4 linked regions of the Arabidopsis thaliana genome follow. The protein of the gene in region 2 interacts with the protein of the main gene of each other region in a pairwise test. Each region holds a gene or a part of one and is shown on either strand. Other genes may lie near its edges. The genes, in order: DREB2A, ABF4, CPK30 and CDPK1.

Evidence for each region.
Region 1: the proteins of ABF4 (region 2) and DREB2A interact in a two-hybrid assay, tested with the Arabidopsis thaliana proteins (one study listed by BioGRID).
Region 3: the proteins of ABF4 (region 2) and CPK30 interact in a two-hybrid assay, tested with the Arabidopsis thaliana proteins (one study listed by BioGRID).
Region 4: the proteins of ABF4 (region 2) and CDPK1 interact in a two-hybrid assay, tested with the Arabidopsis thaliana proteins (one study listed by BioGRID).

What each region holds. Positions count from the first base shown.
Region 1 is NC_003076.8:1,599,672-1,606,747, forward strand, and holds DREB2A (DRE-binding protein 2A), read left to right. Parts: upstream 1-2,533; 5' UTR 2,534-2,698; intron 2,699-2,955; 5' UTR 2,956-2,978; coding exon 2,979-3,986; 3' UTR 3,987-4,368; downstream 4,369-7,076. Other genes in the region: AT5G05400 (LRR and NB-ARC domains-containing disease resistance protein), read right to left, coding at 1-698; AT5G05420 (FKBP-like peptidyl-prolyl cis-trans isomerase family protein), read right to left, coding at 4,369-4,447, 4,544-4,592, 4,681-4,722, 4,812-4,899, 4,979-5,152; AT5G05430 (RNA-binding protein), read right to left, coding at 5,604-5,757, 5,859-5,981, 6,063-6,326, 6,403-6,434, 6,582-6,599. UniProt on the Arabidopsis thaliana protein: Transcriptional activator that binds specifically to the DNA sequence 5'-[AG]CCGAC-3'. Binding to the C-repeat/DRE element mediates high salinity- and dehydration-inducible transcription.
Region 2 is NC_003074.8:6,683,643-6,692,088, forward strand, and holds ABF4 (ABRE binding factor 4), read left to right. Parts: upstream 1-3,399; 5' UTR 3,400-3,594; exon of another isoform or gene 3,595-4,243; 5' UTR 4,244-4,313; coding exon 4,314-5,432; intron 5,433-5,520; coding exon of another isoform or gene 5,521-5,565; intron 5,566-5,619; coding exon 5,620-5,691; intron 5,692-5,786; coding exon 5,787-5,816; coding exon of another isoform or gene 5,817-5,828; exon of another isoform or gene 5,829-6,064; coding exon 6,065-6,142; 3' UTR 6,143-6,481; downstream 6,482-8,446. Other genes in the region: FUT11 (fucosyltransferase 11), read right to left, coding at 1-159; AT3G19300 (Protein kinase superfamily protein), read right to left, coding at 6,600-7,111, 7,184-7,268, 7,366-7,455, 7,547-7,614, 7,695-7,747, 7,830-8,091, 8,169-8,446. UniProt on the Arabidopsis thaliana protein: Functions as a transcriptional activator in the ABA-inducible expression of LTI65/RD29B (AC Q04980). Binds specifically to the ABA-responsive element (ABRE) of the LTI65/RD29B (AC Q04980) gene promoter.
Region 3 is NC_003070.9:28,077,309-28,085,428, forward strand, and holds CPK30 (calcium-dependent protein kinase 30), read right to left. Parts: upstream 5,364-8,120; 5' UTR 5,169-5,363; coding exon 4,529-5,168; intron 4,376-4,528; coding exon 4,232-4,375; intron 4,152-4,231; coding exon 3,999-4,151; intron 3,874-3,998; coding exon 3,758-3,873; intron 3,664-3,757; coding exon 3,496-3,663; intron 3,400-3,495; coding exon 3,169-3,399; intron 3,065-3,168; coding exon 2,891-3,064; 3' UTR 2,638-2,890; downstream 1-2,637. Other genes in the region: QKY (C2 calcium/lipid-binding plant phosphoribosyltransferase family protein), read left to right, coding at 1-1,110; AT1G74730 (transmembrane protein, putative (DUF1118)), read left to right, coding at 1,687-1,839, 2,080-2,523.
Region 4 is NC_003070.9:6,520,233-6,529,040, reverse strand, and holds CDPK1 (calcium-dependent protein kinase 1), read left to right. Parts: upstream 1-2,965; 5' UTR 2,966-3,304; coding exon 3,305-3,956; intron 3,957-4,089; coding exon 4,090-4,233; intron 4,234-4,325; coding exon 4,326-4,478; intron 4,479-4,567; coding exon 4,568-4,683; intron 4,684-4,791; coding exon 4,792-4,959; intron 4,960-5,051; coding exon 5,052-5,282; intron 5,283-5,399; coding exon 5,400-5,573; 3' UTR 5,574-5,799; downstream 5,800-8,808. Other genes in the region: NRT1.9 (Major facilitator superfamily protein), read right to left, coding at 5,800-6,700, 6,778-7,331, 7,429-7,646, 8,151-8,241. UniProt on the Arabidopsis thaliana protein: May play a role in signal transduction pathways that involve calcium as a second messenger. May be a positive regulator controlling stress signal transduction.

The sequences.
Region 1 (7,076 bases), on a different chromosome or scaffold from region 2:
AGATCTAGTCTTTTTCCAATGTCTTCTTGAATCCTCTTAACAGTTGGGTTTTTAGACACTACAACCCATATTGCAATGTCAAAATCGTTGCTTACTGTGCGGAACTTGTTGTTGATTTGAGAGAGGAGGGTGGTCTTGCCTACTCCCCCCATACCATATATACCCAAAAGCCCAACTCCCACTTCCATCATACTATTCCATGTTGATTCAACAATTGCCTCTTGACCAACTATCTCCTGGTGGAAAAGCCTTTCCTCCACCTTTGGTATAGGACCTTTTTGAGCAACTTCATCAAAAACGCCTTTAGATAGAAGATTCTCAACATCTTGCAACTTGTTGATTACACTTTTACTATAGTCGTAGCTATATTTACATCTCTTAGAACAATATTGGCCACAACATAAATTATCTATTTCTTCATCGCTTTGCGAGAGGATATCATGGGCTTCACATACCCTACTTTCGACCTCAGAAAGCCATTGTTGGACTTCATCCAATAGGTTTAGACCTCTATCTTCTTGTACCTTAATCCTTTTCAACAAATCATCTCGTCTTGCCTCCAACTGTCGTACAGTTTTCTTTAGAGCCGCTACATGATCTACGAGGTTGCGGAAGCGATTTTGGTTCCTGCTAAGGCAGCTTGTAAGGTTATTAACAGCCTGGTCACAGGATATTGCCACAGAGAAGCAGGCTCCCATCTCTCATAGATTCTCAAATTCCTACCAGAGAGATTAATATACAAATTCCTTTCCTAATGTTTTAGTTTATTAACTGAGGTGTGTGCACGATCATTCGGGTTGACCACCAATCTTGGCATCCAGTCATCTACGACTCGATCAAATATTTATGTTATTTTAAAAATGAACTGTAACCAAGATAACATTTTTTTCATAAGGTCAACGACCCTTGGGATGTTAACAGAGCCAAGTTTAGTGAGCACTATGTGCTCGTTTTTTCTTAACACAATTCTAACGTGGTTTGGCCAAGCCAAGTCAACATTTTACTTACATCTCGTTTTCCAATAATGGTTTTGTAATCGATAACCTAAATCATTGTAATGAATGCGTTCCTCCCTATCGATCCTAGGCCTTAGACAATGCTGAATGATTCATAGCCACGCGAATAACCTATTCATACTAATATGGAAAGAAAGAAGCCAAACTTACAGAGCTCTTCTCACGGTCGTCGAAGAAAAGAGAGTCTACAGTCAGCAACAAAATTAGTGTTGCCATCATGGCATCATCTTGCAGCTTTTTCCGCACAAATAATTTATCATCCAAATGTTGTTCACTAAACCAAAAACAAACAAGCATTACAGCGAAGAAACCAACTCGTAGATACAGATTTCCAAATTCATGCCTTATTTAGACCAATAAAAACTGAAATTTCTCTTCAGCGAAAAAAAAAACAAACAAACTGAAATTTCATATAGATCCAGAAGATAGAAACTTGTAGGCTCAATCGACTAGACTAGAAGATGCTCACCCGATCGTGCTTGAGATAGCGAGATAGTAGCAACACCGACGGTAGAAATAAAATGGACGACACCCATCCAATGGGCTAATTTAGATTAACGGGCTTTAAGGGTTTGATAATGGATGTTAATTAACTGAGGCACATGGGATTGTATCACGTAGGCAATGGGTTTGATAATGGATGTTAAGTAACTAAGGCCCATGAGGTTGAAGTACGTAGGCAATTGCGTGAGCTTACGTTAGCGATGCCGTTAGAGACACGTAGTGGATGAAGTGGCTTTGGTTAGCAAAGGACACATGAGGCACATGCAAAGGCTATAAATGACTGCTGCTTTGCTACAACTTGCGATTCCCAAATTTTATAAGGTAATGGACCCTATCACCTCTGCTCGAAGCTAAGCCACCCAAGTTTGAGCTTCACCATTTGACACGTCTCTAGCTAATACTTAATGCTTAAACTTTAAACTAATACTTCATGTTTAAGACATTTCTGGCTGACACATTTATGAATTCGCTCTATGTCGTACGTACACCGGAAACCTTTAATTTTACAATATTAACCGTGATCTTTTTAAAAATATCTATATAAACGATAAGTATCTCATCAAAACAAAATTGAATAATGTGCACGTTTGTAAAAACTAGAAAAACAGGCAATAAACATCATCATCCAATTACACATCTAGTAAGTGTGATGCAGTGGCAAACTGGCAATAAACCAAGAAAAATCGAGAAAGAGCAGATGAGACAGTGTTGTGTTGTCAGGGTTAATAAAAAAAAAATGAAGATATTTTAAAATTTCATAATATTTAAATAATGAAGTAGTTTTATGATCTTATCCATAAATCAATTTTAAAAAGGTTTAAACTTTACTTTTCCGTATCAACAGCGTGTTTCGAGAAGATTCGGGAGGACACTCGTCGAACGGAAAAGTCGTCTAAGCCTTTATGTTCGAATCAAAAACTGACACGTAACCTTGCTCTCAAACAGAAAAATAAAATAATGTTAGAAAAATCTAGAGAAGGCTATAAATACTCCGTAGATACTTTGTCTTCCTTAGATATTTTGATTTCTGCTAAAGCTGTCTGATAAAAAGAAGAGGAAAACTCGAAAAAGCTACACACAAGAAGAAGAAGAAAAGATACGAGCAAGAAGACTAAACACGAAAGCGATTTATCAACTCGAAGGAAGAGACTTTGATTTTCAAATTTCGTCCCCTATAGGTACGTTGATTTCTGATTTCTTACAAATTTTCAATTAATTTCTCTGATTAGGTCTCGTCAATTGGTGATTCTAGGGTTTATCTTCGTCTTTAGGTTTTCGATTATTTCCTTTTAGGTATAGCTGTGAAATTGGGAAATTTTAGGTGTTCCTAATTTGATAACAAATAAGTAAATCGATCTGATTTTGAACCAAGTTTAAGTTCTCTTGCCTTATGTTTCAGCTTGTGTTCTGATATTGAAGTGTTGTTGTATTGTAGATTGTGTTGTTTCTGGGAAGGAGATGGCAGTTTATGATCAGAGTGGAGATAGAAACAGAACACAAATTGATACATCGAGGAAAAGGAAATCTAGAAGTAGAGGTGACGGTACTACTGTGGCTGAGAGATTAAAGAGATGGAAAGAGTATAACGAGACCGTAGAAGAAGTTTCTACCAAGAAGAGGAAAGTACCTGCGAAAGGGTCGAAGAAGGGTTGTATGAAAGGTAAAGGAGGACCAGAGAATAGCCGATGTAGTTTCAGAGGAGTTAGGCAAAGGATTTGGGGTAAATGGGTTGCTGAGATCAGAGAGCCTAATCGAGGTAGCAGGCTTTGGCTTGGTACTTTCCCTACTGCTCAAGAAGCTGCTTCTGCTTATGATGAGGCTGCTAAAGCTATGTATGGTCCTTTGGCTCGTCTTAATTTCCCTCGGTCTGATGCGTCTGAGGTTACGAGTACCTCAAGTCAGTCTGAGGTGTGTACTGTTGAGACTCCTGGTTGTGTTCATGTGAAAACAGAGGATCCAGATTGTGAATCTAAACCCTTCTCCGGTGGAGTGGAGCCGATGTATTGTCTGGAGAATGGTGCGGAAGAGATGAAGAGAGGTGTTAAAGCGGATAAGCATTGGCTGAGCGAGTTTGAACATAACTATTGGAGTGATATTCTGAAAGAGAAAGAGAAACAGAAGGAGCAAGGGATTGTAGAAACCTGTCAGCAACAACAGCAGGATTCGCTATCTGTTGCAGACTATGGTTGGCCCAATGATGTGGATCAGAGTCACTTGGATTCTTCAGACATGTTTGATGTCGATGAGCTTCTACGTGACCTAAATGGCGACGATGTGTTTGCAGGCTTAAATCAGGACCGGTACCCGGGGAACAGTGTTGCCAACGGTTCATACAGGCCCGAGAGTCAACAAAGTGGTTTTGATCCGCTACAAAGCCTCAACTACGGAATACCTCCGTTTCAGCTCGAGGGAAAGGATGGTAATGGATTCTTCGACGACTTGAGTTACTTGGATCTGGAGAACTAAACAAAACAATATGAAGCTTTTTGGATTTGATATTTGCCTTAATCCCACAACGACTGTTGATTCTCTATCCGAGTTTTAGTGATATAGAGAACTACAGAACACGTTTTTTCTTGTTATAAAGGTGAACTGTATATATCGAAACAGTGATATGACAATAGAGAAGACAACTATAGTTTGTTAGTCTGCTTCTCTTAAGTTGTTCTTTAGATATGTTTTATGTTTTGTAACAACAGGAATGAATAATACACACTTGTGAAGCTTTATGGGCCTTAGTGTGTCTCACAATATTTGAAATCGTAAGAGGAAAAACTATACGATCTCCACAAAAAAACTCATCATTGGATTGAGTCTTAGGAAGTTCTCTAGGGATTAGAGGGCAGCTTTATTTAACATTAAGCAGCTCGACATCAAAGACCAGCCAAGAGTCAGGGGGAATGCTACCAGCACCTTCCGCACCATACCTGTGAGCCAGACAATTTTATCATCTCTCATTAAAAAAAGCTTAAAATAAAACATCACATTATGGAAAAATAAAAAAAGATTTGCAAAGGCTTTACCCCATTTCTGGAGGAATTGTAAGCTTTCTTTTGCCACCAACAAGCATTCCTTTAGAAATTTACAAAAAGAGATCAAAACAACACACCATTTGACCATATTTAGTGAAGAAAAACCAGTAAGAAACTAGCTAGGTTACCATTAAGGCCAACATCCAATCCCTTAATGACTTTTCCAGCATCTGTATGTGTAACAGCAAGCACATAAGTATCCAAGTACCACTCACACATTAATAAAGCTCTTACTTTCGCATCAAGTTATAATACCAACCTAGACGAAACTTATAACGTGATTTTCCAACGGTGGAATCGAAAATCTTCCCATTCCCCTGAAGCTTTCCAGTATAATGGACACTTACCTGCACTCAGAGACAATAGACTGACCTCCAACAAATATTTGCACACAAACTACAACAGTTTAGGACTAAATGCTCATACCCTTTTGCCAGGCTCAGCTTTCTTGCCGTTGGGGTTTCCCATGCATAACTCTTCAACAATGAGGCCATCTAGGTCAGGCGTTTGCTTCTCAACACTAATAGAAAAGGCTTTACTCTCCACTGTAGCTTCCTCACTTATCTTCTCATTCTTCTTAGCAGATTCAGATGGGGACATGGAGCTTTCACTCCTGCAATAATATCAAAAGAAAAAAGCATAGAAATTTATAAGATGGGAAAGAATTTGAAAGAACCATTTACTTGTGAGCTAATAATATCGAATACCAATAACAAATGTACTAACTGATATATCCCAAATGACATGACTACTTTTGATTACCCCAAAAAGAACAAAGTACTTAAGGCAGAAGAATGGACTGAAGTCAAGTAGCCAAAGGAAACCTCAAGCTGACTTCTATTCATTGTTTTGAAAAGAGTATGCCGGAGGATCTTATATATGAAGGAATTTAGTTAAAACCATTTCAATAAGAAAAGCTAAATTTTACAGTAATATTTGAATTGTGGTTATAGGATACAAAAGTGACTGGAGAAGGATAGAAAAGTTAATTTACCTGCTTTTTGGAATGGCTGCATCCATGGCAGAAGGATCTTGGAGAGGAGGAATAGGTTTACTGAAATTGACGCGGCGGCGAATGAGGCGTATAGGTATTTCCGGTTTGGCAGTCACCCAATACAGCTAATTTGCGTCCTCGCATGTAGCTCCCATTAAGTTGAGTCACGGTATCAGCTACGTCTTTTCCGTGAACAACAGCTCTAACTGAGCTGAAAAATGATCAACAAAATACACAAGTCTCTAGTCGTTAAAGAGTAATAATTTTAAATAAATTGAAAGTTGGGTAACATGGGAGAAAGAAGCCTCAAACCTCTCTTTGACAAAATGGAGGCGTATGATATTTCCATATGGAGAGAAAAGTTTAACCAAAGCCCTCGAGATTTGACTCTTCCTAAGCGAAGTATCATATCCTTCAACTCTTACAATAACCTTACTGCAGTAATAGGATATTGCCGGAGATGATAAACATTATTATTATCAACAAATCTTATTTTTTTAAGAAATCAGTGTTTACTCGTTTGCGTGTGCCGGATACGGATAAGCCTCAACAGAGACATTCCATCCTCCCACGTTAACTTGAGCTGATGAGTTGGAAAGAAATGGAGGAGGAAGAAGCCACCAAAACCTGTTGAGAATCGTATTAGTCTCATCAAATTTTAAGGGAATATAAATCTCCCAGATCTCTCCACATGAAGAGAAATGTTCTGCCAACGCCGTGTAGAGATCATCAAGCGGAAGACCAGTGTCATATCCCGTAACCTTAATCCTCCCAACGTCACTGCAATAATAATAATACTATCAACGTGACATCTGAAAACATGCATCACCTTACACATACCAAATTCTCAATTTACCTCAGTTTTGGAATGTTATTCCGTTTCGCTCCCTAAAAAGTACAGGAGATCAAATCAGAAACACTTGCACTGCTAACTAACTTGCAAGTACTTTTCTTACAAACTTGTGAAGAAACCATCAATTGAGAAACAAAGATAAGAAACCAGAGTGAATCAGAAAAGCCATAAGAGTAGAGTACCATGGTGGATGAGAACATGGCTAAAATTTGTTCGACAAGAGCGAGACTCGATAACCCTTTTAACAGATTTAATTTAGGTCTGAAGAGGGCATTTATAGTTGTTTTTTTCTTTTTATTTTGGGCCTTGAATTAGTTAGCCCCATATGGTTCCTATTAAGTATCTTAGAGCATCTCCAACGGGAGAAAAATGGAGCTCTCATGACAGTCTCTCTAAATTATTGTGGAAAAAAATAAATCATAAAGGTTTAATACTGAGAGAATCGTTTCTCTTAAGAGAGATTTTGGAGCTGAAGAGAGACGCATACGTGTCGTTGTTTTTCAGTATTTCTTTTTTTTTTCCGTTTTTTTTCTCTACTATCATCTTTTCACTGGGACTTTGAGGATCATTGGACTTACCTGAAACGAGCTGGCCGACGTTGATTTCGGTAGGCTTATCGGCTCTGAGATTCATGGATTCCATACTTTGCAAGGTTTGTTCTTCTAATCTTATCGTTC
Region 2 (8,446 bases):
AATGACGACAAGAGCCACGCAGATTGGCAAAAAGGTCGAGACTTTACGCTTGAAAGAGGAAGGAGACGAAGAAGAAGAAGTAGAGCCATTGGCTACTACAGGCAATTCTTCATGGGTCAATCCAATTTTAGGACCTCGAAGATTGGAGAAAACACCCATTATCAAAGCGACGATTTTTTATCAATAATGAATGGATTTTAAGAATTGTGATTTGGGTTTTTATCGTTTGATACTTTGATTGATGAGAAAGAGGAAAAATTGGCAGATTTTCTACCTTTAGTTCTTATTTTATTTCATTTCATTAGGAAACTCACTGAAACATGAACTAAAAAAATACATTAACATATATGTCTCTTTCATCATTAGGCTCGGATTAAAACATTTAAACACTTCAAATCTCTAAGACAAAATCCTAAATGAGAGAATTTTACTTATCACAAGGAGAAGGTGTTGGAATAAGCTTGAAGATGACTTAAGCTATAAGTCATTAAGAGATTAGGATTAATAATTCTAGGAGTTATCTAGAATTATATTAGGAGTTATCTAAAGATTATTTGGTAGTTATCTAAATAATAGTCCTAATAGGTTTTGGATTTGGTTTATGAGATTCTTATATAAGGAGATGCTAAGTTGTGGCATAACTCATTGTGTTTAAGCATTGAGAGTTTGAGAGCTTAGGTTTTAAGGTATTTTCCTAAGTTAATAAAAGAGAGTTATTCTTTTATATTTTGAGTTCTTATTCACAATCTTATATCCTTAAATTCTATAGAAGGAACTAAGGAAGAGAAATGTATAGATCGTCATGGATGAGCATATACATGTAATTTTTGCCTCCTCTTAGAATTTTCTAATGACAACTCCAAAATAGAATGATTTCATATATTTTAAAAAAAAAAGAATGATGATGACTATTATTACTCTAGTTATAGCAATAAGCCAACACTATTCATCACAACATTTATTTTTAAAAATTTATCGACAAATTGATATCACACTATTATGAGACAAAACTAATACATCAAAATGCAAAGCTAACGATAGATATAAATAGTAGTTAATTAAAACTTGAAAATACAAAAATGACATTGTATTAATTGAATAATATAAAATATAGTGATGTAACTAACGTTCAAATTTCAAAGTACATAATCAATATGGAAACTAAAGATAAACAAAGTCGTCCTTTCAAACAAAATCCTTTCAGACTTTGGATCTGAATGATATGTAGCTCAAAGAATCAGAGGAAAAAGGCAAATAAAGCCAACGCAAAAGGTCCAAGCTAGAACAATGGATTCATGTCCGGGAAACCGTGGTAGTAGAAGACGTGGTGGTGGAGGACCACACATGACATAACTAGGGTTTTTCTTGTGAACTTTTTCTTCTCTAGCTTCACCGTAATATCTTGTTTTCGATGTTCTCTAAAACTAGCAAATCGTGTGTTTACACTACTCTTTCAAACTACTTTTCTCCATCTCTGACCCTTGAAGTCATAGCCATGTAATCTCTTTGCATTTTAGTAGAATACCCTGTAACAAGAAAAAATAATTATAGATAAAAACAACAACAAATAATCTTAACAAAACAAATGTTGATGCTTCAACGATTCGTCCTTTTTTAACACATTTTCTTGATTATATTTTGTGGCTAGAGGCCCTAGTCACAAATGCCCTCACCAACCCTTCAATCATTGAATATATACAAGCACAACCACATGCGATCATTTGGGATCTGAAATATTAATACAAACTAAGATCTCAATCATAAAAAAATAGAATGACTACAAATCTATTAGTTAATTAGGACAATTATTAAACATTTTTTCTATTCTCTATTTTATGTTTGAATCTTACTTTTTGCTAAAAAAATATTGCTCCATTGATATTTATAGTTTACTATAGTCTTGGTGATTTGTATGGATTTGTAAAAAGAGGTCAAGCGTTGATGGAGATGAACTCTACTTCTCACATCACTCGAGTCTTTTTAGATTAGTTTTTTTTTGATAAAAAGGAAACAAAGCCTAATTATGAATTAGCAAATACAACTACATCTCCATAGTCGTCCCTTGAATCTTGGTCGAACTCTGTAGCATCAAGGTTGAAATTAAACCTAAATGACAATCGTGTGTACGTGTATAAATATACATATAAGTGATGATTACATAAACTCATAGTCATATATGGGATCTATTATGGTTTTATGCTCACTCTATACGTCGGCCTAACGTGGCAAAAGTGGATATTTCTTTGAATATAAAATAGAAAAACAAAAAGCAAATAAGCAAACATTGCAATAATACCAAAAGAGGAATGAAAACATATTTCTGTATTTGGAAGTAATGATCTTAGACTCCACGCGACTGTGTTCTTTATTGTTTTGTTTCGAAGAGCGGTGTGATATTCTTATTGGCTTGCAACCAAAATGGGCTCCCAAAAAGAAAGCAAGCACCACCACTTCTTCTATCTGATGAGGGAACACTTTTAACATAAAAGTCACACAACCATAACATATATTCAAATTTCGGGTGATAACATAATGATAAAAATAGCACAACCCAATTAACTACATGTTTTGGTCATATTTTATTCATAGTTTATAGTTTTTTCTTTTTTTTTGGTAGGAGTAAAGAACACTGTCGCGTGGAGTCTAAGATCATTACTTCCAAATACAGAAATTTGGTTTCATTCCTCATTTGGTATTATTACAATGTTTGCTTATTTGCTTTTTTTCCTACTTTTTTTTTATAACATCTAGTTTATAGTTTTTGTTATATATTCAATCTATTTAGTGTCTAAACAATACTGATGATATCAAATGATTAAAAGGCTTTTGAACTGTAAAAATGACAAACAAATATCTATGATCTATGTCATAATTGAAAAAAAAAAGTTACCAATAAAGATTTTTTTTTATATAGGTAGTATTTCTTGGCTAATATGGACATGTATATAATTATATTTAGTCTTATCTATGTATGAAATTGGTTTGGATGTTGAAAAATGAATCATCCTTATCGTCAACCATTTTGGAAAGAGACAAATCTAGATTTTGATTTCTTTTTTTTTACAAATTAAAGATTTTATAATATATCACAATATTGTTGAAGATTACAATTGTGGCATATGTCAATTTGAAGATCAATTTGAATTTTTGATATACATCTAAAATAAGAAAACTAAAAGAACATAAGAAGTAATATATTTTTAAAAAATTGACCTAAAAACAAAGAATAATCATTATTATGATTTAACTCCAATGAGAAAACAATTCCAAGCACGATCTCCAACCACTCGAATCTTCACTGTCGGAAACAAACGGCCAATGTTTTACCACGTCGCATTCTTAATTGGATGTAAGTCTTTACAAGCACTTAAAACATTAAACTCTTTTTTCTCATTCGTCCACGTTTCTTTTTAAATTAATACTGTTAACAGATAATTATTCACAAAAAAATAATATCTGAAGAACAAAAAAAAAGGTTTCAGGGCCTTAAAATGGCTGCTCGTGTCGAGGCGGCAGCAACACACTTGTCGTCTCTCCCTGTAGCTTCTCTGGAGTTTTCGCAGTCACGAATCTTGTTTTGAAGAAATTAATTTGGTAAAACATATTTTCGAGCTCCTTTCTCTTTTATTATCCGTTTTCTGACTTCTGGATCTGTCTTTGTCGGATCATCCAATTTTTTTGTTGTCTTTCCTCTGTTTCGTTTATGAATCATGATGATGTACATGTTGTAACTGAAGTAACTTTTGGTTATCAAATTAGAGTTAAAGAGAGAATTTTTACGAGATATTTGTTATAAATTTATCGATTTGATTCTTGTTGCTATTAGGGTTTTGTCTATTTGATTCGATCGGGTTTTTTTTAAGAGAAATGGGTTGTGGAATCTGGAATAGATCCTTCTCATGCTTGTTGGGTTTTGCTGATTTTCTCGTTTTTGGTTTTATGAGTAAACTCTGTATCTGGTGTGAATTCGTTTTCCATCAAAAAAAGTCATCAAATTACGTTTTTTTATAAACATTATCCAAAGATCTGACCTTTATTGATTGACTTTACTGTGCTTTTACATTTGTTCGCACGCATTTATGTGGTTTGTCCAGTTTCACTTTAGTATTCTTTCTCTTATATGGATGTGAACATGCATTAGTGACACATAGTTCACTCCTTTTTATTTTCCTCGGAAGTTCTCTTTTTCATGGATTCTTAGCATTATGTAATATACACTCTAACTGCTTTACTTTGATTTTAGAACAAGGGTTTTAGGGCTTGGATGCTTTGTTTTCATTGAAAAAGAAGTAGAAGGAGTGTATACAAGGATTATGGGAACTCACATCAATTTCAACAACTTAGGAGGTGGTGGTCATCCTGGAGGGGAAGGGAGTAGTAACCAGATGAAGCCAACGGGTAGTGTCATGCCCTTGGCTAGGCAGTCCTCGGTCTACTCCCTTACCTTTGATGAGTTACAGAACACACTAGGTGGACCGGGAAAAGATTTCGGGTCGATGAACATGGATGAACTCCTGAAGAGCATATGGACTGCTGAGGAAGCTCAGGCCATGGCCATGACTTCTGCGCCAGCTGCTACAGCGGTAGCGCAACCTGGTGCTGGTATCCCACCCCCAGGTGGGAATCTCCAGAGGCAAGGTTCGTTGACGTTGCCTAGAACAATTAGTCAGAAGACTGTTGATGAGGTGTGGAAATGTTTGATCACCAAGGATGGTAATATGGAAGGTAGCAGCGGAGGCGGTGGTGAGTCGAATGTGCCTCCTGGAAGGCAACAGACTTTAGGGGAAATGACACTTGAAGAATTTCTGTTCCGTGCTGGGGTTGTAAGAGAAGATAACTGTGTTCAACAGATGGGTCAGGTCAACGGAAACAATAACAATGGGTTTTATGGTAACAGCACTGCTGCTGGCGGCTTAGGTTTTGGATTTGGTCAGCCAAATCAAAACAGCATAACATTCAATGGTACTAATGATTCTATGATCTTGAATCAGCCACCTGGTTTAGGGCTCAAAATGGGTGGAACAATGCAGCAGCAACAACAACAACAGCAGTTGCTTCAGCAGCAACAACAGCAGATGCAGCAGCTGAATCAGCCTCATCCACAGCAGCGGCTGCCTCAAACCATTTTTCCTAAACAAGCAAACGTAGCATTTTCTGCGCCTGTGAATATAACCAACAAGGGTTTTGCTGGGGCTGCAAATAATTCTATCAACAATAATAATGGATTAGCTAGTTACGGAGGAACCGGGGTCACTGTTGCAGCAACTTCTCCAGGAACAAGCAGCGCAGAAAATAATTCTTTATCACCAGTTCCGTATGTGCTTAATCGAGGACGAAGAAGCAATACAGGTCTAGAGAAGGTTATCGAGAGGAGGCAAAGGAGAATGATCAAGAATCGGGAATCAGCTGCTAGATCAAGAGCTCGAAAGCAGGTGAATATAAATCTAACTAAACTTATCTAGTCCCTTTTGTTTGGTTTGACTATTATGGTCTTATATTTTGCAAGACTGCATTAAACAGAAACATAAAACCAGCAAAGATATCTTCTATCCCGAACCACTTCTTGTATTATGAAAGATGCTTTATCTTCCATGTTTTTTAACTATCCACTAATTACAGGCTTATACATTGGAACTGGAAGCCGAAATTGAAAAGCTCAAGAAAACGAATCAAGAACTGCAGAAAAAACAGGTTTCTTTCTGTTTACAACCTCTCTGTGTGTTTTCTGTTTTCCCCTATCAGACTTTTAGAACTTGGCTCTGATCCTAGCTTCCCCTGTATTGCAGGCTGAAATGGTGGAAATGCAGAAGAATGAGGTAATTGTTTAAGAACTTTTCTTTTCATTGAGTTCATTCTGAAACCCTTGACCATACTTGATTAGGACCAACATCAGCAGCAAAAGACTAAACTTAAGTTGTAGCTCTGATAGTGTATGTTGGTCCTTATCAAGTATGTCCCCAACTGAAGCTCAAACCTGAGATAGCTTTCGAACATTTCGTGGTCTTGCTTCGTTTTGAATAGCCTTTTTGATTGTGTTGTTCACTAGTATTCTTTTCAAAATTAGCAGCTGAAAGAAACGTCGAAGCGACCGTGGGGCAGCAAAAGGCAATGCTTGAGAAGGACATTAACCGGACCATGGTGAAGGATGAAGCAACAAGAACGGATGAACCAGACTCCTAGCTTGGGATTAATGTAATAGGATAGTGCTACCTGTACAGGAGATTAAGAGAAATTGAGTGAAAGATCTAGGTTACAGAGTAGGAGAGAGTTTTCATTATGAATAAATGACATTTTGTGCCCTGACCTTTGTTAGTTTAGGTTTAGATTATCCTCTGTTATTGACTTATTGTGCTTTCTGGTTGTTAGGGTTTCTAAAAGACATAGTTGTTTATATATATGTCTGACTTTGTATTCCGGATTTGGTTCTCTTGTGTCATTAACTTGGGTTTAGCCATTATTACTTAAGAGTGGCAACGAAATCATTCTTGACTCTGGTTGGAAAACATATGTCATCTTTCAAAACTGCAATTAGAAAACAGTTAGGATGATCCTAAGTGACAAATTTCTAGAAAAAATGTGACTAATTTGTCTCTGCTCACTCAAAAAGAGAGACCATTTGGTGGAGAGTGAGGGGAGCCAGTCTCAAGCAGAAAACTCCGGCTACAATGCGACCTTGAAGTAGTACTAGAGGAAGAAGCCAAGCCACGGATGTCTCCACTTTGGAACCCTGAGTCACCTCTCAGTGACCGTCCTTTGTTCTCTTCAACTGCCATTGCAAGCCCGAGATGCAACGGATCACAGCTTTCGTACAACAGCCTCAGAACTTGCTTGATTGATGGCCTAGCCACGCCTTCTTTCTCTGTGCACCATCTTACAACTGCCACTACTGTTTCAAGCTGTTCTCCATCTATGCAGTCTTTGATTCTCGGATCCACCAGATCTATGCGTCTTGATTCTGATACCAGCAAAGGCTGAGACAGTTCTACCAGGTTCCTACCTTCATCAACCGCTCTTTTCCCAGTTATGATCTCTAGCAACACCACTCCGTAGCTGTACACGTCGCTTTTCTCTGTTAGTTCATGTGTTACAACGTACTCTGGATCTACATAGCCTGAAATTCAGATTTCATGGTTTTAGATTTTGCTCAATATTTCAAGAGTAGTTAATTCCTTAGTATCCTGACCTGGAGTTCCGCGGATATCAGTATTAACAGGTTCAAAACAAATGGAGCCATCTCTAGAAGCATGTGCAAGGCCAAAATCTGCAAGCTGCACCACATAACCCCACACCCACAGGTCAATTCTTTAAGAGGTAAAACGAATTGATAAGTCAGTGACCAGTTGATGTGAAAGGATGCAGACGCACCTTAGCAACAAAGTGCTCGTCGAGTAATATATTGCTTGACTTAATGTCTCTGTGACAGAGGGGAGGGTCACAGTAGAAGTGAAGGTATTCCTGCAGGAAAGGAAGCATATCCAGTTAAGAACTAAGAACAGTAATAATAATATAAACCATAGACTAGAGTATCAGTTTTATGGAAATTTACCAGAGCATTAGCCACATCAATTGCGATTTTCATCCTTGATTCCCAACTTAGTGGAGATTTTTCCGTGGCTGCAGAGAGGAATAACAACGTTCAAGATTCTTAGTCAAGTCTAAAACAGAGGAATGCAATCTGAAAATCATGAGCATACAGTGTAGATGATCCTTCAGGCTCCCATTTTCCATATACTCGTAGACAAGGAACCTGTAATTCTCAGGTTAGATGAGCAAAGGGCAATCCACACAAATGGGGAGAAACGAAATGAAGGTCAACCGTAATCATTCACCTCTCGTTCTTCTTATTACAAAACCCTTTCAAAGCAACTAGGTGGCGGTGATGCAGCCTGGCGAGAAGCTCTATCTCTCTGCAAAATTCATCTTCAGCTTGTTCAGAGCTCTTGTTCATCTTTTTTACAGCTGCAACCAACCCATTACTGAACTCAGCTTTGTAAACAGTCCCAAAGCCCCCACGGCCAATCACCGCGTTGAAATCTTCAGTTGCTTTCCTTATCTCCTTGTAGCTGAATTTCCGAAAACCAAACGAATTACCTGAAAAATCAAAACCACACATTTGTTTTACATGGTCTAACATCCCTTGTTAGTGTACCATCAGAAGAACTCTTCACCTTCATGAATCATCGACCTTGGGCGGGGAGAAGGAGATGTCCTTGTTAGATTACAAGCGATGCTCTTGGAGTCATCAAGTTCTCGTTTTTTTCTTTGGATAAGAACTATTAGGACTACAACCATCACAAGAGCAAAAACTGTGACAGCAATCCCAATAGTCGGAACCATTGTCAAGTGATATGGATGGTGACTTTTTAATGGAGACAAAACAAGATTATCGCTGCTTGGACTATCAGCTAACACTGGAGGAGAAGCTTCTGGACTCAGCGATGATGGA
Region 3 (8,120 bases), on a different chromosome or scaffold from region 2:
ACAGACAGTTTTGACCCGAGGTGGCACGAGCAGTATACGTGGCAGGTTTATGATCCTTGCACCGTGCTAACTGTTGGAGTCTTCGACAATTGGAGGATGTTCTCTGACGCCTCCGATGATAGACCTGACACACGGATTGGGAAGATACGGATCCGGGTGTCGACGTTAGAGAGCAACAAAGTGTACACCAATTCATATCCTCTGTTGGTTTTGTTACCTAGCGGTATGAAAAAAATGGGTGAAATTGAAGTGGCAGTCCGGTTTGCATGCCCGTCTCTGCTGCCTGATGTTTGTGCAGCTTATGGACAGCCGCTTCTGCCTCGGATGCACTACATAAGGCCTCTAGGTGTAGCACAACAAGATGCATTAAGAGGGGCCGCCACGAAAATGGTAGCAGCTTGGCTGGCTCGAGCAGAACCACCATTGGGACCAGAGGTAGTTCGATATATGTTAGATGCAGATTCGCATGCATGGAGCATGAGGAAAAGCAAAGCGAATTGGTACAGAATTGTTGGTGTTTTAGCTTGGGCAGTGGGTTTAGCTAAGTGGTTGGATAATATCAGGCGGTGGAGGAATCCAGTGACGACGGTGCTAGTCCATATTCTATATCTGGTTCTTGTTTGGTACCCTGATTTGGTAGTCCCGACTGCATTCTTGTACGTGGTGATGATCGGAGTTTGGTACTACCGGTTTAGACCCAAGATACCGGCTGGTATGGATATCCGCTTATCACAAGCTGAAACCGTCGATCCTGATGAGCTAGATGAAGAATTCGACACCATACCAAGCTCAAGGCGACCAGAAGTAATCCGAGCTAGGTACGACCGATTAAGGATCTTAGCAGTGAGGGTTCAGACCATTCTAGGAGATTTTGCAGCGCAAGGAGAACGGATTCAAGCGTTGGTTAGCTGGAGAGATCCGAGAGCGACAAAGCTGTTCATAGCAATCTGTTTGGTAATCACAATAGTTCTGTATGCAGTTCCTGCGAAAATGGTGGCGGTGGCTCTAGGGTTTTATTATCTTCGGCATCCGATGTTCCGAGACACAATGCCTACGGCTAGTCTCAATTTTTTCCGGCGGTTGCCAAGCTTGTCCGATCGACTCATCTAAGGAGAGAAAGATGTCAAGATAGTAAATGTTAGGTGTTTTTGAGTATCCAACAGTTTCTTGGGCTGAGGAGGAAATAGAATAAAAAGATTCATTATGGGTTAAGAATTTTATCATATTATTATGATTCTTCATTTTATTATTCAGATTCTGTCGGAAACTATAATCAGATGGCATGAGCTTTGAGACCTGTAATATTTTGAAGGAAACGAGAGAGATTTCAGATTTGAGAGGTGAAAAAGGAAGCAAAACTTGTCAGTAAAGTTTTTTGACCACAGATTTGCTTTTGGTATCTCTGTAGTTTTCTCTGTAATCTAAAATGATTTACTAATTCCTCATTTAACTTATTTTGTTTACGCCTAAACTATTACATGTAAACATTGTCTGATTATATAAATTCTAAGTGAAAAACCGGAGATAAAGCGCTAACGAAAATGATTGGTTGAAATCACAAAGACATCATCTGACGTGGCAGTTTCTCTGTCTATCAGAGTTTCAGATAGTGTGCCAACGGCGAAACAAGACACGAAAGAATCTCTAAAGAAATCATTTTCATCGCTTCGCTTCGATTTTTCTTCAATGGCTGTCGTCGGCGCTCCAATATCGTCTCCGGCGGCTCAGCTGCAGACACAATTTCTCTCCAATCCCATTCTCCCCCGCTTTCGCCGGTCTTTCTCCACCGGAAAATCACCAGCAACTTTCTCCGTCGTAGCTATGGCTCCCCAGAAAAAGGTAACTAACTCTCTTAATCATCTCCTTTGTTTAAGTTCTGAGATCTTTTGCACTTTCATCAATCACTTCATAAAGTATAAATCTTTTTTGATTCTCAAGATAATCTTTAGAAACATGAATAAGCAGTACATTTTAGTAATGGAACAAAGACATTGAAGTCTCTGTATATAGTATTGTTGCAGAGTTTTATATATACTTTTTAATTTGTGTAATTGTGATCACTGAATCGGGTAACAAAAGGTGAACAAATATGATGCCAAGTGGAAGAAACAATGGTACGGAGCTGGATTGTTTTTCGAAGGGAGTGAGCAAATAAACGTTGATGTTTTCAAGAAGCTGGAGAAGCGAAAAGTGTTGAGCAACGTTGAGAAATCTGGCCTGCTGTCAAAAGCAGAGGGGTTGGGACTCACATTGTCATCTCTTGAGAAGCTTAAAGTCTTCTCCAAAGCAGAGGACCTTGGTCTTCTCAGTCTCCTTGAGAACTTAGCTGGAACATCGCCTGCGGTCTTAGCCTCGGCTGCATTACCAGCTCTCACGGCTGCTATTGTAGCCGTGGTGTTGATCCCGGATGACTCAACTACTCTAGTGGTTGCTCAGGCGGTTTTGGCCGGTGCTCTTGCGCTTACAGGGGTTGTTTTGTTGGTTGGTTCTGTTGTTTTGGATGGACTTCAAGAAGCTGACTGATTCTTTCTCTGTAAACCGAACATAAACCCATGTCTTGTCCAATTGATTTTTGTCAGTTGCTGATTTATAGCTGTATGGTTCAGTTGTTTATGGTTAGTCCAAGACATAAGCTGAGTGATAGAAAGAAGCTTTATAATAATTAAACAAATATTACATACACATTCATTCATTCTCCAGTGAAAAGCCTAACTACGCCCACAAATTACAAATTTCCAACTTCCCCAAAACCAAAAAAAAGAATCTCTAGAAACAAAGTGAAGTAAGCCAAAATCACATCTGAAAAAAGCCCAGAAAAAAACCCTTCATGAACGTGTAAGAAAAGCAGCCATCAGATTGCTTCTGTTTTGGTGATAAACAAGTGTAAAGATCAAACTGCAATAGATTGTCCAGTGAGTGCGTCGTGTAGATGCATTGACCCGTCTTTCATCAAGTTTAAGCTTAAGCTTTTAAACCTCTCTCTTGAGTATTGTCTTGATGCCTTTCTCCAATCAGTTCCAGCTTTCATCATCACCACAAACTCATCATAGTTTATTTTTCCGTCCTGCAAAATCAAACATTATGACTCCTCTTAAGTATTTAATAAACTTTCTATAGGAAGAGTCTTTATAGCGAGAAAGGAGCTGATGTATAGAGCTTTAGAAAAACCTTGTCAGTGTCGACTTCACGCATTATATCGATTATAACACTGTTGTCTGGTTCACCTAACTCGTCGGTTAAAGCTTCACGTAGTTCTTCTGATTCGATGTATCCACTTCCATCTTTGTCAAAGAACATAAAAGCTTGTCTGAAATGCTCATCATTCTCCATCTTCTGCAAGTGAATTATCACTGCTACAAACTCTCCATAGTCCAAGCATCCATTTCCATTAACATCCGCCTGCATCAAAATCATGAATGTAAGTACCAGAGAAGATAAACATCGTTTGATCAAGAAAAATCCTCATAAGGAAATGGTATTTGGTAAAACATTTACCACTTCCATTAACAATTTGATCTCTGGTTCACCCAGTTGTGAACCGACTTTCCGGAGTCCAGCTCTGAGTTCTAGATATGATATTTTACCGTCGTTGTCATCATCCATCAGCGTAAACATGTTTCTGATCACTTCAACTTCTTGAATAGACAAGTGTTCGGCGATAACCTGGAAGCATCAAAAGGGAGCAAGTAAGTTAAACCAATCAAAGCTCCAAACAAAAGTATAAACTCATCTGAAAAAAATGAGAGGCAACACTTACACGCAGAGCTTTCTTTTTCAATCTATTCATCATGGAGAATTGCTTCAACCTTGACCTAACAATATCCCCTAAAGGAACATTTGGAGCTTTCTTTGCATTCTGTATCCAAGGGTGATCTGCAAAGAAGGAAACAGAAACCGTTTTCACTTTAAATGCCATTTTCTCCATCTCAAATCCAACACAAGAAACAAGTAGCAAAGAAGATCAAAATTCACAAGTGACACAAGAACAGCATTATTACCAAGAACTTGCTGAGCAGTCAAACGCTTAGTTGAATCAGGTTCCAACATCTGCTTCACAAGGCTCTTTGCGCTCTCTGATATCTGCGACCAAGGATCTCTCTTAAAATCAAGAACTCCCCTCAAGATGGCAAGAGCCACACCTTGTTCAGTCTCTGCAATCAAAACCTTGAATCACTCAGTTACTCTCAATCAGCATATACAACTTCAAACAAGAATCAAATCTTTCTTTAACCTGCCCAAAACGGAGGAACACCACAAAGCAAGATGTAGAGGATAACTCCAGCACTCCACACATCAACCTCTGGTCCATAATTTCTCTTCAACACTTCTGGAGCCATATAATAAGGACTTCCAACAATCTCTGTAAACCTCTCTCCTGCAAAATGCATCAAAATCTCTCTTTTAAGTTAAATTCATAAGCAGATTCAAAGTAACACAATTGTCAACTCTTAACCAATGTGACCTGAAAGCAAAATGGAGATCAAAGATTCTAAATTTAGCAAAAAGATTCCATTTTTATGGAAATTACCAGGTTTAAAGAGAACAGATAAACCAAAATCAATAGCCTTAAGTGCAGAATTCTCCTTCTTGTTAGCAAACAAGAAATTCTCAGGCTTCAAATCTCTATGCATAACACCATTGACATGACACATCCTCACAACCTCCGCGATCGTTCTCGCGACGGTAGCCGCCGCACGCTCTGTATAATGTCCTCTGGCAACAATCCGATCAAAAAGCTCACCTCCTTCACAAAGCTCCATCACAAGATGCACGTTCTCGTTATCCTCATAAGTCGCTTTAAGTTTCACAACGTTTGGGTGTTCCGGTAAAGTTGACATGATCGTGACTTCACGACGGACGTCTTCCACATCGACGGCGGTTCGGAGCTTTCTCTTGGAGATTGATTTGCAAGCTAAAGCTTCACGAGTCTCTCTATCTGTACAAAGATACGTGATTCCGAATTCGCCGCGACCGAGTTCTCGTCCTAAGATGTACTTGTCGCTGATCTGAGATTGATGGCTCATAGGAATCACACGTAACGGTGCGTGAGTTCTTAAACCATCGGGATCGTCGTATGGGTTTCGTTGCCGTCCCCGTGGAGGTTTCTTCTTCTGGTTTGGTTTTGAGTTGTCTGGGTCAAACTTGACGCAGGCGATACAATTACCCATGGCTGAGTTTTTGAAACTCAGCAGAAGAATAATGAAGAAAGTAGTTTAAAGAAGTTTTCGTTGGTGCAAAATCCGGCGACGGCGTAGAGTTTTCCGGCGAACCGGTGAGTTGCAGAGAAGAGGAAACACGGGTTCAGCTGAAGAAAGTTTCGACCTTTTCGTAAAATTGATCAAAATGATTATAATTTTTTTTATTTATATCAAAAAGAAAATAAGTTAAAGCGACTTGATCTATCTCCCCTATATACTTAAACAAATTAATTACATAGAAACTGTAATTTTGAGCCATTTTCTAACCTATAATTTATAAAAAATTGTAAAATATTTTCAGTGATTAACAGTTAATTAATTGTATTATTATTACAGAACAAGTTTTAGTCTCTGGTGTTGTAACTAAAAGAGTAAGTAATTAAAATAACTATTAAAAAAATTATAGCCTTAGATCTGTTGATAGGTGGTAAAATGAAGGGTAGAGATGTAGCTTACGTGGAAGGGGAGAGTTTGATGAAGTTGTTGACCGTAGAAGTGGATACGGTGACATTGTCAAAAAGTGTGACGTTGGTTTCATTTGATTTGGTATCACCAAAATATTTTGTTTTGTTTTCAATTCAGTAATTATTATTGTCTTCTTGTCTTATATTATATGTCTATAGCATTACCTAAACTACCTGAATCTACAATTTTTTTTTTTGCTATTTGGTTTCTTAAATACAATATTTAAAAACTGGTTTCTTACCAATATACATACATATGTATATTTACAGATTTATCGAGTGGAAAATGTCTTCATTAATTTTTCGTATGAAAATAAATAACTTTGGGTTGTCAAATTCAAGATAAAAACTGGCATTGGATTTTCTTAACAAAAAAAAACCCTAGTAGTTTATGTGTGATTTGAAAGTTTCTACCAAAAGATTTGGTGAAGATAATTTCAAAAGCTATCAAATTTGTATCTAAGATATGAGATATTATTAGGTGTAGACTTTATCAATGTAAAGGAGTCAGCTTACTATCGGACTTTGTTTTGTGTAAAAAAATAGTAATCAAAACTAATATATGAAGATTCCATTGATCAAAGTCAACAAAAATGCAAACAAATGCGATCGTCTTGTTGTTTTCTCTCATATATTTCTCATTTTTATATTCGAAACTAATTGACAAGTGTGTCGCCATGTCGTGATCTTATTCGTTTGCTTTCTATAAATCGGGTTTACATTCACATCCTATCAACAACTAATTGGAAGTTCGAAACCGAAACTCTTTTTGATCATCATGTACATCGTCTAAACGATAAAATTTGTGCATATGAATATAAATATTTTTGTTTTATCACTTTATGTCACTCATCAAATTGATATCAGTAGGTAAAAAAGAAGGTCTTTTATTTATTTCCCGGTTATACTTTCAACCAACAATTAGTGCAATTGGCAAAAAGAGTGTGAAACGTTGAAAGTCATGCAAAAAATAAAAAAAGCGAGTCTTTGTAAATCAATACATTAGAGAAAACTAGCTATATAAGCCCCAAGTTTTAAAACTTGGTTATATTTTACTCGAACTTTGTTATGTTTATGCATATAGTAATATGTTATAAATTATTAAGACATAAAATTCCATAAAAAAAGATAAATCAATTACAAATAGATTAGTATGGATGAGATTGATTTTCACACCTAAAAAAAAAAGAGAGGAAATGATGGACCATGTTTTATCTTGTGCAACTTTTTAGCTGGCAAAAAGGATTTAAAAAGAAACTAACAATACGAAAAATTATTATTCGGAAAAAGGGACTTTCGTCGATGAAGGAAAAAACATGAGATTGTGTATGAAATGATGGGCTCAACTAGAATGTTTGAGATTGCATGTGTATGTGGCGTTGTCATGCCAACTATTCGATTTATTCAAGTCCCATCACTTTTCTTGCATAAAACTGTTATCTACAGCCTAAAACTATATATACTTTATGGGATAATTAATATTTTTATATGAATGAATCTTAAATTCAAAAAAAAAGAAAAGAAATGAATGAATCCATCATCCATGCCTTAGGCTTTGAATAGTGATATACCGGCGGGATGGTTTGTTTACCATCCATATCTCTTTTAAAACTTTTCAAGTAATAAGGAAACTCAATAAGTTTCTAGATTAGTCATGTTTCAGTCTAACTTTTAGTGTTATGAAGAACAAGAAAATGACAGCAAGTGATTTGGCATGGATCAAGTGACACAGGTCCGTTTTATTTACATTTTGGAATCTGAAATTCATTAATTTCAATGATTGTAGTATGTCTCTGACTAAGTTTGTTTTCCATATGTTGCACACTTATAGTAAATGATGAGGTTTGGGAGTGAATACTTTAGGGTTAGTTTAAGATTCTATGGGGTTTCAGATTAAGCTGTAGTATGAGTTTGTCGAAGCTACTAGGATCATATAACGAGCAAATGTCTTTTATACAGCAGCTATTTGGGCTTGAAAAACAAAGTTTGAAATGGGCTCATAAGATAACTGATAGGAAAGCCCAATATATTTTTCTTAGCTTAAAGAGAATACACTTGCAAAGGAGAACATAAATGCACAAATACAATGGCATAAAAGTATCTTTTTCAAAATATTATTTAAAACTTTGTTGTGCTTTCACATTTTTAGATTTTTTCAGATTTTTTATATTTCTTTTGGATTAAAAGTTTATAAAATCTATCTTAAAGAAAAGGAGCCGTTCTAAAATCTAAATTAAAGAGGCCACGGAAATTTAGTTCGGATCGAATCATACCCACAAAATCTCTCTCTAAACTCTAAAATAGTAAAGGAAATGAAAGTCACAAAACAGTCATATTCAAAGTAGTACAGAGAAACTTGAGGAGGACAGAACCGAAACGTTTGCTCAAAAGGGGAACAAAGTAATAAAAGACGAAAAGTTCAAAAAAAGGTTTTTACAGCTAAATCCAAATATTCTTT
Region 4 (8,808 bases), on a different chromosome or scaffold from region 2:
TTCTTCTACTCTCCTCCAAGCATATTTGGTCACACACACGGAGGCTGCTGCCAATTCAAGGTCTCAACTTTTTTTTTTGCTCTCCTTTTATATTTTCACTTCATTTCTCTTACCTAAACTTTCAAATATACCCCTCATCTTTAATTAGTTTCCAAATAACACCTAATAGTCTTATTCTTACAAGAATTCTCCCCATTCTTAATAGTTTTTTTTATTCCCCTTTCATAACTTCTTTCTCTCAATTAGCCAGTAAATATTTCTATTTTGTTTGATACATGATAAATTCGAAGTATTTTTTGTGGTTTTAAAAAGGATTATGTGTTTTATGGAGTTATAGAAGAATATATGGCTTTGACTAAAAAGAAGAAGAAATTGAGCTTCTTTTTGTTATTTTCCACTTTGGTTAGTTCTTAATTGCAACGTAGAAGCCTTGCCCTCCCCAAGTTTCGCAAGTCTTCAACAAAAATGTTCCGCAAGTCTTCGCTATTACACGTGGCGTTGCTTTCATGTCTTGCCCGTGACTGTCCTGTTACTCTAGTGGTCAGAGAAAGTTTCTTTTTCAGTTGTATTTTGACTATTCAGATTTTGGTGGTAAGTTGAGAAACGAGAACTTTTAGCGGAATAAGCATTATATGATTAAAAAAACTCTATAATCAAAGAAGAATAATTGTCTTGTAGAGTTTGCTAATCCTCTTCTCCAAGCAAGGTGCAAAGTCTCCTCTGCATACTAGGCTTAGTTCAATACATCTTTCAATCTAGTTAGGCCCATTAGCCCGTTATGTTTACAAAGTTAAAAGCCCACTTACTTGAGAAAATTCACAGATGCACACATGCATTAGATTATGTACTGCAATCTGAAAATGCATGATGAGAGGTCTCATACACAAAACAAAATCAAAAACAATTTAGAAAAATATTAGAGTAACTTATAAAGACTGTTACAGCTGAAACTAAAATACTAATAAATTCGACTTCTGGCAATAATTAAGGATTACATCTCTTTTGTTTAGAGTATAATTGAACTTTTGGAGCTGTAATATAATTTGTATGTATGATTTATGAAAAGTGATTGAACTTATACATAGATGGAAAAGTTGGCGTAACAACATGCATGATACATACAGAACACATGCAGCCACAGCATTTGAATAGAACACATCATCACAATTCCCAAACATAATCATTCTCTTCAGCAAAAAGACACACTCTTTCCAAATATAATTGTCACTTTTACTGTTTTAAATTTTAAGTTATGCCAGCTTTAAAGTTGCCGACGACAAAAGCATGTCCATCGTTTCTTTCTTCTTCGGAAGATTAATCAGAGGATTTAAAATAATCTAAATTCGAGATTATGTTGTATAAATATCCATTTTGAAACTTGAATGAACAAAAAACCGATAAAGTTTTCCACGAATAAGTTGTTGGTGTTTTTAGTAGGTTCATAGATAGGAGGGTGGAAGGTCTCTAGTTGGGCAATAAATTGAAACCGCTTTTTTCTGACCTACCAAATATTAATTTGATCGAATCATTGAAAAAAATACATATATAAAATTATCCATATAAAAACTATGTAGTTTGCTTTAAAATATTTCATCGTATGCAATGATATATGCATACTTAATCCACCACATGTCCCTTGAAACAAAAGCACTTAAGCTCTGTGTGGTTGACATTAAATCACACATTTCATTTTGTTAAAATTAAAGTCTAAAATTTTATTCATGGTAGTACATCCATCATCAAAGACCATTTTCATTGAACAAAATAAAGTTTCAATCTCTAATCCTTTGTGAAAATTCTTACTACTATATATTAATTAGGTCTTTTGGAATATAGACGCGCAACACACATTTTCTTATATATGGATTGAATGGTATCCAAATCCCCAAGGTAATGTAATGTAAAACCAAGATAAAGAAAACGAGTATGACATTGACAATTGAACTTGTAGCGAAGTCAGGATAGGACGACTTGCGGTTTCTACTTTCTAAGCCAAAGAAACATAGTTTTCATTGATTTTTAGTGTTTTTAAATTTGTTGTTGACTTCCATTAATGGAATATTTCGTACTTTGCTTCTTCTTTTCGAATTTTATTTACCTATATAACTTTGCTTTATTTTCTACAACACAATAAGTATTGCTCATAATTGAGGAAGTCTATACACACAATATTTTCCTATCCTTTCTTTTTTTCTGTCGGGAATTTCTTCATATCCTAGCATCTAGATTATGATTGTACACATACAAAAACAGAAAAGAACTAGACTTCAAAATAATGCAAATTAGAAACAAAAAATTGCTCCAAAAAAAATATATTCAAAACTATAAATAAAATATTATTATGATTTTTCTTCTATTTTACGTACATTGTATATCTCTAGAGAAGAAAATAATTTTTAAAAAATAGTTTGGGATCAACGTCGCACTTATTGTTTTGTCTTACAATCTCAGAGTCTCACCGTATCCACCACGCTGGTCAACAACTTCAACAAAACTCTCTTCCTCGAACTTCAATCTTATCCCTTCATTTCATTACCATTAATTCACACCAACGGCTAACATTGTCCTCCTCGCTAAACTGTTAATTATACGTTTGGCCGTAATGTTTTGAAGTCTGCCTATATTTCTTTTCAATAAATGCTCTTTTAATTAGGTTTTAATTTGGTGAAATCCAACCTTTAAATTTTCTGATGCTGTTAAATCTAAGAGTTTGAATTTTCTAAAATCATTGTTGTCGGTTATCATTTGTACATCTTGATAGAACTATAATATGATCAATATAAACTTATAATAATAATAACTGAAAATACAAATGATTTTGTTTGTTTGTTTATAAAACCACTGAAAAATGCAAGAGTTAATCCACTGAGTTCAACCAAAAAATAAAGAAGTGAATTCTATTAGTCATAAGCTTGGACCAAAAAATCCATCTAGAAGAAAAAAAAAATTGAAAAAAAATTACAAGTTTCTAAGAAGATGGTGCAATGGTTAGAAAAATCTCTCAAGTTATTAAATGCATCATAAACTAATACTGTATATTACTATACACAAAAATCAAAGACTCCCTTTTTTTTAATTGAATCAAACAAAATCCGAAATTTCGAAAGGTCCGACTTTTCCTCACCTGAACCCGCGTTTTCTCTCCCCCTCCCAACCCAACTCTCCAATTCGCCGGAAAATCACCGCCACCGTCACTTCCGGCGTCCATATGAACTAAAGAGATAAGCTTTTTTCTTCTATAATCCTTCTTCTTCTTCTTCCTTGATCTCCTTTCTCTGAGTTTGCTGAGTTTCTTAACTCAGCCATGGGTAACTGTAACGCCTGTGTAAGGCCAGACTCAAAAGAATCAAAACCATCTTCAAAGCCGAAAAAACCCAATCGAGATCGGAAATTAAACCCATTCGCCGGAGATTTCACCAGATCCCCAGCTCCAATACGTGTTCTCAAAGATGTAATCCCTATGAGCAATCAAACTCAGATCAGCGACAAATACATCTTAGGTCGTGAATTAGGTCGAGGCGAATTCGGAATCACTTACCTCTGTACTGATCGTGAAACCCACGAAGCTTTAGCTTGCAAATCGATTTCAAAGCGAAAGCTTCGAACAGCTGTCGATATCGAAGACGTTCGTCGTGAGGTAGCGATTATGTCTACTTTACCTGAGCATCCAAACGTAGTTAAGCTTAAGGCTAGTTATGAGGATAACGAGAACGTGCATCTGGTTATGGAGCTTTGTGAAGGAGGTGAGCTTTTTGATCGGATTGTTGCTAGAGGACATTACACGGAGCGTGCTGCTGCAGCTGTTGCGAGAACGATTGCTGAGGTTGTGATGATGTGTCACTCTAATGGAGTTATGCATCGAGATTTGAAACCTGAGAATTTCTTGTTTGCTAATAAAAAGGAGAATTCTCCACTAAAGGCTATTGATTTTGGCTTGTCTGTGTTCTTCAAACCTGGTAAAGATTCAATTTTTAGTGTTTCTTAACTCAGTGGATGGTTCTATTTTTAGACTATCCTGCCATATCTTCATGTTTATGGAAGTTTGTGTAGATATCTGAGATTGGGTAAATAACGTTTTCTTTATTGTAGGAGATAAGTTTACAGAGATTGTAGGAAGTCCGTATTATATGGCTCCAGAAGTGTTGAAGAGAGATTATGGACCAGGGGTTGATGTGTGGAGTGCCGGAGTTATTATCTATATCTTGCTCTGTGGTGTTCCTCCGTTTTGGGCTGGTTAGCTTCTTCTTTTAATTATTTTAGCAGCTGTGTAATTGTTCACCTATGTTGATTAGATAAACCGATAAGATTGTGGTTTCTATTGACAGAGACTGAACAAGGTGTTGCTCTTGCGATCTTGCGGGGAGTTCTTGATTTTAAGAGAGACCCTTGGCCTCAGATATCAGAGAGTGCCAAGAGCCTTGTGAAGCAGATGTTGGATCCTGATCCGACTAAGCGGTTAACTGCTCAGCAAGTGTTAGGTGAAGTTCTTGTGTTTCTGTTTTCTTTAATGGTCGTAGTTACCTTAATCCACTCTATTACTAATGATTTTCTTTTTCTCACCTTTCAGCTCACCCATGGATACAGAATGCAAAGAAAGCTCCCAATGTTCCTTTAGGAGATATAGTCAGATCTAGGTTGAAGCAGTTCTCTATGATGAACAGATTCAAAAAGAAAGTTCTTCGTGTAAGTGTTTTTTTTTTGCCTTTTACTTTTCTGCTGAAGTTTGTAGAGAGTCTGTTGTGTGTGTCTATATTTGGTTTTGATCATTATCATCCCTGTTAATGCTTCCAGGTAATTGCGGAGCACTTGTCTATTCAAGAGGTTGAAGTGATAAAGAACATGTTCTCACTGATGGATGATGACAAGGATGGTAAAATAACTTACCCGGAACTCAAAGCTGGGCTTCAGAAGGTCGGTTCACAACTTGGTGAACCAGAGATCAAAATGTTGATGGAAGTGGTAATTTAAGCATTGCCCTTATCTGATTAAAGACCAATTCAGTGTTCTTCTCTGATAAACATAGCTGAAATCTGTATGGCTTTGACGCGCAGGCGGATGTCGATGGAAATGGGTTTCTGGATTATGGAGAGTTTGTAGCTGTGATAATTCACTTGCAGAAGATAGAGAATGATGAACTTTTCAAACTAGCTTTTATGTTTTTCGACAAAGATGGAAGTACATACATTGAACTTGATGAGCTACGGGAAGCTTTAGCGGATGAGTTAGGCGAGCCAGACGCCAGTGTTCTAAGCGACATCATGCGTGAAGTTGACACTGACAAGGTTCTTTCAAATATCCAAAAAAATCCTCCTTTAAGGCCTAACAATAAAGCTTGTCAAGAGAAAAGATATATCCCTCTGCTTCTGAGTCGGATTGTTGGGCTTGTTTGCTTTTTACAGGACGGACGTATAAACTATGATGAGTTTGTGACGATGATGAAAGCTGGAACTGACTGGAGAAAGGCATCGAGACAATATTCAAGAGAGAGGTTCAAAAGCTTAAGCATTAACTTGATGAAAGATGGGTCATTGCATCTCCATGACGCTCTCACTGGACAAACTGTTCCTGTTTAAATTTATTCGTTATCACCAAAAACAGAGCAATGCTCCGTTTTTTCCCCATTTCATAAATTGGGAATTTTCCGGGCTTGTTCTTTGAGGGATGGGAATTTTACGGAAGCTATGGTTCTTTACATATATAAACATTTTACATTGTATTTTGTATGTAATGTTTTGTTCAAAGGTTGTATTTTTATTGTCTCAAAGCCCCTAAACCAAAGAGTCAAAGGAAAGATCTTTATTACACTGACACCTTATCAAACTCAGCAGAAGTCTTGTCCATGTCCTTGTCCTTGGCCACAACATCTTTGTAACGGTACCAATGTGAGACCAACAAGAAATAGGCCAAGTTTAGAGTCATCATACCAGCAACCAAGAAGTAGAAATACTCCAATCTTCCCTTGTTTAAATCTTCCGGAAGCCAACTTCCTCCTGAAAATCCCTCTGTGGTATCGTGTACCGCCGATAACAAAAAGGTGCTGAGGTAACTCGCCAATCCGATTCCACAATAATACAGAGAACCAGCAAAACTTCGCATGTTCTCTGGAAACTGTTTGTAGTAAAACTCCATTTGTCCAACTCCAGCGAGGGCGTCCGCGATACCCATTAGCACTAGCTGAGGAATCAACCACATACCGGACATCGAAGAGATTGCGCCTTTTCTTGGGGCCAACCCTAGCGTCGGTTTTGTGAGAGCTACCTTTCTTCTGTATTGTTCTACAATTGCAGACACCATCATACTTGTGATGCATAGAAACAGTCCTGCTCCAACTCTCTGCAGTTGTGTGATACCGCCGTCTCTGCCTGTATACTTTCTAAGGAAAGGTACAAGGACGCGGTCATAGATAGGTATGAATATCGTCATTCCAAGCATTAGGAAGACGGTATAAGAACCGGCCGGGATCTGGAAACTTCCTGGACCAAGGCGTCTATCGGATTGAAGAGACTGAAAGATTGTGTAGGTTGTTTGTTGAATGTAAGCTAGGTAGAATAAGGCGGCCGAGAGCCAAACCGGAAGCACCCGGATCACGCATTTAACTTCCTCCACTTGTTGCATACTGCAGAGTTTCCATGCATCCACCGGCGACCCATCTTTGTTCAGCTTGTCGTCTTGTGTTTGGATTGCCGATTTGTCAAGAAACCTGCAAATTAAGAAAACCCTAAAATGTTTCTAAGTTGTTCCACAAGAAACTAAGAGAAGTAGTGAGGTTATTAGTACCTGAACTGCTCTGTATGGCCCAATTTCGAGTTCTTGAAATCACTGGCGATGTAGTTGTAAAGCTCGTTAGGCCCAACGGGCTTTAACCGCCTCTTCTTGATCGCGACAACAATGACACGAGTTATGCTGTGAATGGGACTGCCACTAGCTTTAACCTTGACATAGAGCTTAGAACCAGCGAAGAATATGATGCAACCAAGTAGCATTAGAATAGCTGGGATGGCTAAACCAATGCTCCAGCTCACGTTTGACTGAACATAGACGATGAGGGTTAACGACACCATCTGAGCAAACGTGAAGGTGAAGAAATACCAATTGAAGAAACTCTCAATCCCTCGTTTCCCTTCTTTTGTCTTCGGATCGAACTGATCAGCACCAAATGGAAGATTGCATGGCCTAATCCCACCGGCTCCGATCACCAGCAAAACCATTGCTCCGGCGAGAAACATGATTTGTCCGATGGATGGCCCATTGCACACGCTTCCTATTTCCTTAGCGCATTGAGCTGGATGCAGGGGATGAATCACAGCCGTTAGATCCATTGCCACCGAACCCTTTGCATCAAACACAACAAACGATTGAAACTTTCAGACATAATCAGCTAGTTTTTTTTCAAACTGAAAATTGTGATGAATAGGTTTTAGAATTTACGAGAAAGCAAGCGATCATGGCGAAAGATAGGGTCTTGTAGCGGCCAAAGTAGGAGTCACAGAGGAAAGCAGCGACGATGGTGCCAAAGTTGCTTGTGCCACCGTAGATGTTGACGACTTTCGCAGCCGTGATGCTCTTCATGTTGAAAACCGTCGTTAAGTATATAACCAGATTCGATGAACTTCCAACAATCCCCAATTTTTCAAATGTCTCATTTCCTACCAAATTAAGAAACAGAGCATTAAGTTACTCTGTTCATAAAATCCTCTGTTTTCTCTATCAGTTTCTTGTTCGTTTCAAGACCAAAAATGTTATAATAAATAAAAATAAAAAACATGAAAGAAACAGATCCATAAAAAAAGTCCTATGTTTTAATTTTATGAATCAAATGTTTTTTTTGTCAATGAATCAAATGTTTCATAAATAATAATAAAAACATACTAAAAGAGCACGAAATTAATAAATATTCTTATATTTTTGTTTATTTATTTCTAATAAATATTTTTATTTATTTACAAGTATAAAGTCCTCATGTTTTTCCATCAGTTTTTTGTTCGTTTCAAGATTATGAGTGTAAGTAAACAAAAATCATAATTTTGAAACGAACAAGAAACTGATGAAAAAAACATGATGACTTTATACTTGTAAGCAAACAAAAGTATTTATCAAAAAAAAAAAATATATATATATATATATAAGAAAGAATATGGATGAATAAATACCAATGATGAAGGGCATGACTTTCCATCCTCTGTAGATGATCTTAGACTCATCATCCTCTGCAATGTTCTTCTCTGTCTTCTCAACCTCCATTGTTATGTTTTTCTCTATGCTCTGCTCTGCTTTCTCTAAGTGTGTGTAATGTGTTAGTATATGTGTGTGTGTATATATATATTAGTGGGAAGTGAGAAGGATCTCATTATGAGACCAAAAAAGCTATTTGGAGATTATACCAAAACAAAAGTGTTGGATTAGAATATAGATTTGAGTAAAAAGAGTCGGCTTTATCGAAAGGAGAGGACTGGAGTTGGTATTCCTCACTTCATTGTTTTGATTTGTCAACTAACACACTAACGTTCGGATAACTTATTAGTTTATTTGTTGCCATGACTTATGTAATATTCTTAACTCGTTATTTAAACATTAAGTAGCAGTCAAGAGTTCATCTTTAATATCTGTAATATCGACAACGAATCTATCCTTTTACTTTTCATCTAGTAGGTATTCTTAAACAATATGAAAAAATGATAAAAGAAGAAGAAGAAAGCTAAGAAGAGTTGTTTAAGAATCATATATTGTGCCAATACGAACATATTTCTGTAATGTTGACAATTGGCTTTTTAGTTGAATGCAATAAACTTTCAAAAATGCAAAAGGAAT